3 separate regions of the Mus musculus genome follow, and all the other regions are reported to be linked to region 1. Evidence: microRNA targets listed by miRTarBase, many of them from high-throughput screens and not tested one by one. Region 1 holds a microRNA gene; each other region holds the end of a gene's coding sequence.

Evidence for each region. The annotated mature microRNA mmu-miR-544-5p reads UCUUGUUAAAAAGCAGAGUCU and lies in region 1 at 2,112-2,132, opposite strand. An mRNA with a match to its seed (bases 2 to 7 or 8) in the 3' UTR can be bound and repressed. Matches are read on the target gene's strand: a 7mer-m8 pairs with bases 2 to 8, a 7mer-A1 pairs with bases 2 to 7 and ends in A, and an 8mer does both.
Region 2: the mRNA of 4930430F08Rik is a reported target of mmu-miR-544-5p. Seed matches in the 3' UTR shown: 7mer-m8 at 539-545.
Region 3: miRTarBase lists Fhdc1 as a target of mmu-miR-544-5p. Seed matches in the 3' UTR shown: 7mer-m8 at 2,193-2,199.

Annotation. Positions count from the first base shown.
Region 1 is chr12:109,728,367-109,731,466 of GRCm38, reverse strand. It overlaps Mir544 (microRNA 544), which reads right to left and starts at 2,142; the gene lies at 2,065-2,142.
Region 2 is chr10:100,570,728-100,573,793 of GRCm38, reverse strand. It overlaps 4930430F08Rik (RIKEN cDNA 4930430F08 gene), which reads left to right. Exons shown (of 7, transcript NM_175128.2): 7 at 34-1,520. The coding sequence ends at 228. Cep290 (centrosomal protein 290) reads right to left here. Exons shown (of 54, transcript NM_146009.3): 53 at 1,652-1,731; 54 at 1-914. The coding sequence ends at 687. Among named protein-coding and RNA genes, the nearest start is that of 4930430F08Rik, 17 kb to the left of the region's middle.
Region 3 is chr3:84,441,930-84,444,995 of GRCm38, forward strand. Fhdc1 (FH2 domain containing 1) reads right to left here. Exons shown (of 12, transcript NM_001205355.1): 12 at 267-3,066. The coding sequence ends at 2,538. Among named protein-coding and RNA genes, the nearest start is that of Fhdc1, 36 kb to the right of the region's middle.

The DNA.
Region 1 (3,100 bases):
AGAATAGCCTATTCCCAAAGTCTGAGGCAGGGGGATTAACGTGCATTCAATTCTGGGGACCTCACTAGGGTAGCCTGGGTGCTGAGAGTCTGGAACAAAGAAGCCTGTGACCTTACGAGCATGTCCTGTTGTTTCTGGTCCATCATTTCTTCCTGGGCTTTGGGCTTCCCTCTGACATAGATAGGCCATTTAGTATTCACTTTTAGTAGCTGATAGCACTTCTCTCTGGCAAAGAGAGGAAGCAGGGGTGAGAGCTGAAGCATCCTGACCTCAGAAATGCCCTAAAGATGGCGTGCATGTGCTATAGGGTATCAGATATCCCTAGCACCTGGATTTACCTGGGCCAAATATACTCTTACAGACCTCAGGCCAATCCTGATAGGGCTCTTGTATGAAGCTGGCATCCATCTTGAACTGATTCCATCCAGGATTGGTCCCCACCAAGGGAAGAGTCATCCAGGCGGCAGGAGCTGGGCTTCCTGTCCGCCACCGGCATCATCCCTGAAAGGGAGACGCCCAAGAACAGCATCTTCCCTTACAGCAGGGATACAGGCCAACCTCCTTCTTCCAGAATCCCAAACAGCTGGGTTCATCTTACCTTTTGTGTGTGATCTCCACCAGCACAAAAAGAAAAGGAATCAAGTCTCTTCCAGAGCCGAACAGCAGGACGGGAAGCCCCATCGGGGTAGTGTCTGCACCTCAGTGGTGTCCACAGGAGGAAGGGGATGCCAGGGACAGGACCTCAGTGAGAACAAAGGAACAGGGTCAAGTTAGCTTGTCTTTCACAAGCCTGAATTCCGGGGGGTGTTTTTGAATGGATGTAACCCTGAAAACCAGTCTGTCCCCAGGGGAGTTGTGACTACTTCTCAACCATCTCATGGCTTCTCCCCACTGCCTAGCCATCCAGAAAGGGTTTGGCCCACATGCTCTGGCTGGGGAAGGCTATAGCCCTGGCATCAGCTCTCCTTTCAAGCGCACCCTGGCACTGAAAACTGGTAGAAGAAACGAAGGGTGTCCGTGAAAGCACAGCAAGCTCATCGCAAGCAGGACCAAGCTTCCTCGGGGTTGGTCTTCTCCATCAGGAATATCCAAGGAGCATCTCGAAGGAGCTGCAGGGCTCATCCAAGGCTCACACAAGGCAGGCAGTCTCATATCGCTTGTGCAGGGGGCCCTTCAAAAAAGCAGAGTTTGATAGTCAAAAGGAAGCTAACTGTGTCTCGTTCACAATAAGCAAACAGAACATGAATGACCTCAAATATTCTCAGAGATCTCTGACAGGAAAACCGGGGCCTCTTGTCTACTGTCCTCTCTCCTTCCAGAAGATTCTTCCAATGACAAATTGAATTCCTAGACTCTGAGAGGTGAATTCCCATAGTCTGTAAGAAAGCACATGAGCTGACAGCAACCACTCACTGCTACACATTGGTCCTAGGGCTAAAATCTGGTCTGACGGAAAAACTCATTCCCACAAGAGCTTCCTAAGGCAGGTCAATTTAGAAACAAAATGGAAGTCTATCTGGTCCTCCCTGAGAGGTAAGCTGGATGGCAAGAAGCCAGCAGCTGGCCGAATATCATGGAAGGGCAATGGCACCATGGGCATTACCTCTCTCGATAACGTCGAGGGTTGCTGGTAGATACGACAGATAGGACTCCTCCTTCCCCAGAAGCTGTGGTTCCAGAACTGTGCTCCTTACAATTGACTGGAAATGGAGAGTTACAGAGTCAGATGGTCTCAGTCACCAATAACCTGGTGCTGACAAGTCCTGCTGTTGGCTGACATAGGCAGCCCCTCCTTGAAGTAGCTCTTATATCTGGGAAGCCCATAGAGGCATGCTTTGATTTGAAAGAATAATCAATAATCAATAATGGTGTTTGTACAGCAGGTGGCCTTTCACAACTGACCACAGTTTGATCATCAAAAGGTAGCATATTGGCTCAATGCTCACTCATGATGGATAATGCGGGGTGGATGGAGGAGATGGAGCACACACACTACAAGGAACATGCAACATCACCTCCAGCCCCCAGTGGCTACATGTGTTGTCCACGGACCGGCAGCATTAGCATCACTTGAGAGCTTGCTAAAAATGCAGAATCTTGGCCCCTCAATCAGACTCTGCTTTTTAACAAGATCCCTAGGTGACGAATATCTTAGCAGCGTTGAGCAGTTTGAGAGGCCCTACACTAACCAACAATTTGTACAAGCATGCATGCAGGCACACACACACACACACACACACACACACACACACACACACACACACCAGATTATGGAATGAGCTGAAATGGTATGCTATTGACCAGGTATGTCTAAGAAAAAGTCAGCCCAAAGGAAGCCATAGGAACAGATAGAGAGTGACTTAAGGCAGCGGCGGCGGCAGGAAGTATCCTTATTAACACCTGTATTAACCACAGGAAGTCTATGCTCAGAATGGATGCTGAGGAGAGTGGGTGCTGGACCTAGAAGACCCTGGCCAAGTTCTGTCTACCTAAAGAGATGCTTGACCCAGTACCTTCTCAAGGAGTTCCTCTGAACTAAGACTTAACAGCAACAACAGACAGGTGAGTTATTCTCAGTGTTCTCCAGACCAAGCACAAAGAAGCAAGCCACCAAAGCTGTTGCCACCTCAAAGCTGTCACTGTGAGAGTACATGGGGGGGGGGGTGCCTTCTGAGGTTACTCTGCCTCAATAAATTCTCCCTCTCCTGCAGCAGGTACCAATGTCCATTAGCTGAAGTCACCACTGTGCTCTAGGACCTTCGGAAGCAAATCCAGATATGGGGCAAACAATGGTCGTCCCAATTAATCTCCATAAATATGGCGAGCACACTATTGATAGCCACCCTGCAAATGTCAGAGAACCACCGCACCGAGAAAAACCGCAGGACCTCCTCTCACGATCCAGACCAGACAGCTCGCCGGCCTCTGTCATTCAAGCACATGCTTGTGGAACCAGTCACACTCTTGAGCAAGGGGCCGGGGCCTGACCCCAGTGACTATCTGTGAGATTGGCTGCCCATCCAAAAAAAAAAAGAACGATTTGCCAAGTCATGAAAACTGTGCTATCTCACCATGACCAAGCCACGTAGGAACCCCTGGA
Region 2 (3,066 bases), not on the chromosome of region 1:
AAAGTTAATACCATCATTTTTTTCTCCTTACAGGTCCATCGTCACCATCTTGGTTTATGCTGGCCACTTCCAGATACTTACATGAATTCCAAACCAGTTATTATTAACATGAACCTGAACCTGAACAATTATGACTGTGCTTTTGATAACCAGTCTTTGTTTAATCAGTTTTCAAAAATAGATAAACAGAAATTTGAGAGACTCAAAGACATAATACTTGATGTATAAAATGGAACTAATTGTTGAGATTATTGTGATTTTCTAAGACTGAATAGTTTGCATTTAATTTTGCTAGCTGTTTGGCAAAACCTGTCAACTTCTAAACATGTTTCTAGGTATTTATAGAAATCATCGTTAGGATTTGACTATCTTAACACAAAAATAAATATAAAATAATCAATTTTAAATAGTAAATTGATATAAGCTTACCTTTATGCTTTTTGAAAATTTAAGTTATTATGAAAATAGTAATATTTATCATAGCTCATTGTGCACTGTATAGTCATAAATTAATGAAGTCTTCAAAAATATACTTTTCTAACAAGTTAAAACTAAATATGATTTTTTTAAACAAAAAAAATACAATATTTTGAGCTGTAAATTCTATAACACAGAGACTGCTTGATTTCCAGCTGAAACTTTTTTCACTCATAAAATAGTTTTAAACCTGCAGTTACACGAGGGCACTAATAAATAGGGAAACTATGAGGACTTTCTCCATCTTCCGAGTGTTCAGAAGCAGCAAGAGGACTAGGCAGTTCAAATCCAAACTGTTCCGACAGTTTTTTTAGCTTCTCTTCTAATAGGATATTCTTTTTCACTTCTTCCTTATAATTATACTTCAGGTCTTCAATTTCTTCAAAAAATGAAGGATCAAAATTTTCCAGTTCTTTTTTCAGCTTTTTAACTTCCTCCTAAAAGTTACATACAGGATACATGTTTTTGGTTTGAAATTTTAGATTTAATTATAAACATAAAAACTCAAAATCTTAAATGTAAATATTTTTCTTTATATTTTACTGTTCAAGGTTCCGTTGTACCATGTGAATAATGTAGAAGCTGCCATCTTTAGCTAAATTATAAGATTAAATCTTTAAACTGCCTCAGATATTCCCAGGCAAGCGAAAGGGACTTTGCTTTTTTACAACAACATTCAAGAGTTTTCAGTATTTATAATGTTCTAATTTTTTATCTTTTATATATAATACTTATGATCATGGGAACCCTGGGACTTGGAAAGGTTAAGCACCTGGTGAAGTGCATGCTTACAGCATCTACACAGACCAGTGACGAGCAGCCAGACCACTAAATGATTTAAGGGAAAGATCCCTGAAAATAATTTCAAAAGGGACTTAGAAAACACTTTCCCCACCATGACCCACAAATTAAGAAAATAGTTTAAAAAAACTATTAAGAGATGTGCATTGGTTACAATTTAAAAATAAATTTATTCTCTAGTACTTTCTGTTTGTCTGATTTTTTGCTGTTGATAGTTGTTTAATAAAAAGTTGTCATGAGTCAAATAATAAGTGTGAAATAAATCCATGAATTTTGGGTTATACACTTAAAGATGGTGATCATAAAAATTATTTCCCAAAGCTGTTTTCACAAAACACTGAGCATACTAAAGTTAGACACCAATACGAATTACCTTCGAATGTTGCTTTTCTAGCTCCAACTTTCTGAGTTGTGTCTCCAGGTCATTTATCTTTTCCTTTAGTTGATCAGAATCTGCCAAAATAGTCAGGAAAATTATGACTTATGTTTTTCTTTACTGTGAGTGAGTTAAAGATAGAGGATTTGTTTCAGAATAAACAGGAAACATGAAAGCGAAGGTCTGCATCATCTGGCACTGTATGGTGGGAAGACTTCGCATGCAAACTGCATGGCCATGACTCAGCAAGTAAGGTAGCTGCCAGCTATCAGAAATGTGGGCTATTCTTTTTTTATATGAGAGGAATTCTTATTTTTGAGAGAAAAACCTTGCAACCAGTAAATTTGTTAGGTACTATGTATACAGGCAACGAATTAAAATGCTAAGCTGGCCACTTATGCCTTCACACCACATAGCTTTGGCTACTGTGTGTAAGGTTTTTTTTTACACTTTACGCCAAACATCTAAGACTACGTGTGGCACAGATGAAGTTGTGGAGGAGGAATCAGCACACAGGTTAATAGACAGTGTCCTGCCACTCCATGCAGTCTTTGAAAGGTAAAGAGTTTTGTTTTAATGTTCGAGTTTGATGAACTAAGGAAAGCGAGTTTTCATGGTAAGGACGGGAAGTGTACTGGAGTGCTCTGGGGTGTCCTCTATCACTCAGAGACTGGACAAACAAGCAGGGTTCCAAATAAACAACAATGCATTTTCCTTTTAGAGGCAAAAAAAAAAATAATGTTCCCCTTCTATTTCTATGTCATATGTCATGTAAATCTCAATTCTACAGATGAAGAAAAGATAAACTATTTGTCTTCCTGAGAGTTAAGGTGATCTGTAGTCACATTTTCCTACAGATATTTTTATGACTTAATAAAACTCTCCTATATATATGTACCACATTTTATCTCAGTGCATCTGTTGATGGACACAGTGGCTGATTCTATTTACCTGAGTGCCCTAGTAAACATGATTAGTATGTATATATTTCTTAGTTTGATCCTAGTCATTGAGATCTTATACACACTGTTGGTGAAAAATTGCATGAAGAAAATAGGTACAACATATTCTGAAAGTTCTGAATGGTCCTCATCTTTAAATGTTGATTTGGGAACATCCAAACGGATTGATTTTGACACAGGTATTCTCTGAAATGCGGTAATCTGCTCGCCTTCCTTCACTCACAACAGATACAATACAAAGGCTTGGGATTGGACAAGCTGGAGAACCTCCTAATGCATCAAGAAGTCTCTGGTACTGCGTTCAGAGCACACCAAGCTAGCGCTCACACGAGTTCCCTCCCAGTGGATGAACACTGGTTTCAGGTATCAGAAAGCACAGGAGCACAGGGCTTAAGACCGTGGTTGGCTCAGAGTTAATGCTTGCCCTTCCCATGCCACTTTCCATTGGTC
Region 3 (3,066 bases), not on the chromosome of region 1:
TCCAAGGAGCATCAAGTGTTCCGGCAATGGCTTGTGAGATAAACCTGCATCCCTACAGGCCTGCAGCAAAGCCCACTCCCGAGCCCTTGGTCCTGTGTGTGTTGTATGGAACCAATGCCAATAGAAATTTATTCTGACTCTCGAACCTTTGGAGGACAAGTTTTCCATACCCTCCCCCTTTCTTCCCACACCTCACCTTCTTTCAGGGAAAGAGATTAAAGACTCTCCTGGCAGGACAACTAAGACACATGTGCAAAGGCATAGCATAGGTATAACTCCTACAAACAACTTTATTAAGACTACCTGTTCCATAAAGTACGTAGAAAAGGACCTTAAAATGCATTCAGCGCATCCTCAACAAACGCATGTAGAAAGGCATTGACATTCCTCTGTTGCATAGATGATTCTCCCAAACTTACAGTGTATAAAAGGTAGTAAGAGACTGCCCACCTGCCCACCCACGTGTGCACAGGGCCGGCGACACCACTGCTTTCCCAAGCACGCAGCCAATGTGATCTGACAGCACCATACCAACAGGCTTCTCCGGAGGCTCCCCAGCCTCTGCTGAGGGTCCTAGAAGCCACGTCAGAAACAGACACAGGGTGACTGGGTAGCTCGATTCCTGGAAACCATCATGAAGGGCTGGACTCACTTCTATGGGCTGGGAGACAGACACTTAGGGAGAGTAGACGCTTGTACCGAACGAAAGCGGTGTTGGAATACGGCACAGGATGGGTCCCTGGGCCCTCCCACGGGGCTACTCAATTCACCATCCACAAACCTGTCAGCACGTGTCGTCTCTCATCCGTTCCCACCCACCCACAGGCCTTCTGGTTCTGGAGGGTTCCAGAGGGGGACAGATTGCTGAGGGCTTCCTAGCTGCCCAGACATCGCTGCTCAGGGCTGTTTTTAACAAGAGGTGGTGACTGCAGCCTATCTCTGCCACTGTACTGTTCAACTGCTGCAGCTCAGGGACAGCAGCTCAGTTCCCAGGCAAAGATGGAGAGGCTTCCCGAAAGGAGAGACCATAGCAGCCTCCGCAGTCACCTCACAGTGTGACACGCTGACCTAGCCCACCCAGTCACCAGTGTCTGATCTAAAGTGAGATTTCACTAAGAAGTGACTCAGAAAGAAGGGGGCAGGGCTTTTATTTCAAGCTTCCCCCCCCACTTTCTTCTCTATTTCCTGGGTTTAATAGAGAAGTAGTAAAAAGAGCATTGGGTAAGAACTTCTGTTTGCACGATGCCTATCTCCTGCACAGATTTCCCCAGTGTTAAGATTCCTGAAGTCAGAAGTCAGTGTTTCTTGGGGGGTAAGAGTCTATTTAAAATAAACAACCATGACTGGGCTTCTCTCAGTTGGACTTGAGAAGCGCTGTACCAAGGAAGACAGGCTGACACCAAGCAGTATCCCTAGGCTGGGCCTGGTGCCTTGTACCTGTTATCCTAGCACTCAGAAGCTGAGGCAGAGGATTGCAAGTAAGAGGCCAGCCTAGACTAGGTCTCACAATGTCTCTAAAAGCAAAATCAAATAGAATAGCAGGTGGGGGTGGGGTACTGAGGCCCCAGAAGAGAAGGAAGCCTGACCCACAAAAAGGGTCATTTCCCTCTCCACCCGGAGCTAACAGAAGCGAGTGGCCACCATTGCACACATGGGAAGGACCTACTCAGCTGGGCAGCCCTTGCTGTCTTCTACACCAAGCACCCTATCCAGCACCCTACACAGTTGCTCCTATCTTCAGGGAAAACTTCCCTATAGCCATGGGCTCCCCGCCATGGGCCTCACACCCTTGGGGCCCCCTTAAACTCACAGTAACATCAGATTTTTACCCATACAAATCTGACGTCCCTCCTATTCACATGAAATCCTCACCCAGAGTCATTTGAGGAGAACCCACACATTAGCTAGCCAGAAAGTTCTCAAGGAGACAGCCTCAACCGTACAACCACCCAAGAGCTTGTGAGAGGCCACCCCTGGCTAGGTATGGTGTGTGTTCTCCCACATACACGCTGATGGAACCCCGAGGCAGGGGGTGGGGATGAAGGTACAAACAGTTTCATATTAAGGATAATCCCCCCATTCCTGGGAGGCATTTCACTCTGAAAAAGGAACTAAAACATCTTTTTTATTTTTATAATATTAAAAAATAAGTCTTTGATATATAAAAACTGGCCAGAATTTTTTTTTTTTTACTTGTTACATAAGAATTGTCATCTTACATGTCCAGACTATTATTGGATCTTTGTCTCGGGGCAGGAGTTAGGGATAGGGTCCTGAGTATGAGTGACAGGAGGTGCCAGCCCCTGACAAAGTACTGTGCAGAATAAGGATACTCTCAGCTTTGATTTCGAAGCAGAAGTCTGCACAGCAGGCTATAGCTCTCCTTGTACCTTTAGTGACGTGACCTTTAAGCAGGTGGCACCAGTGTGTTGCTCGATGTGTAACAAGATGTTTAAGACTGGCCTCTGTGTCCTCCCCCCGCAGCAGCCAGTCCCAGCAGCTAACATCCCACAAGGCAGAAATGCAGACAGGCGTCATCATTTCTGCAGGGGACGGAGGATCCTCCCGAGGGTGGCCTGCCCCGAGTCCTTCAGTCTGAGAGAGGATCTTTCCGTCGTCCCTCTGCCCTTCAGTGAGGTTTCTACATTGGCACTTGAACCCCCAGCAGATTCAGGACACTTCTTGGAGGCCCGAGCACTGCTGGCCCTCTTCAAAGTGCCAATGTCCTTGGAGGCAGAATCCTCGGAGCCACCTTTGACCCTAAGCTGCCGCTGGGAGACTGTCCTGGTGAGGCCAGTGGTTCTGGCCGCGGGTGGAGCATCCGTTCGCAGGCTCCGAGATGACGAGGCCACCGTATTTCGAGCAAAACTTGGGATGGGGGGAAGGGCTCGAGAGACACCCGTAGCCTGAGGAGCCTTGGGCTCTTCCTTGGGACTCTCGGGGTCAGGAGAGTTGGGGCTGCTGACCTTGTTTTCTTCAGGTTTCTGCCTGGGGATGTTTCTGAGGGGCTTGGCGCTAGGCTTCCTGAACGAGGCTCTGGGCTGCAGCGGGGCGTCCTTCCCTGGC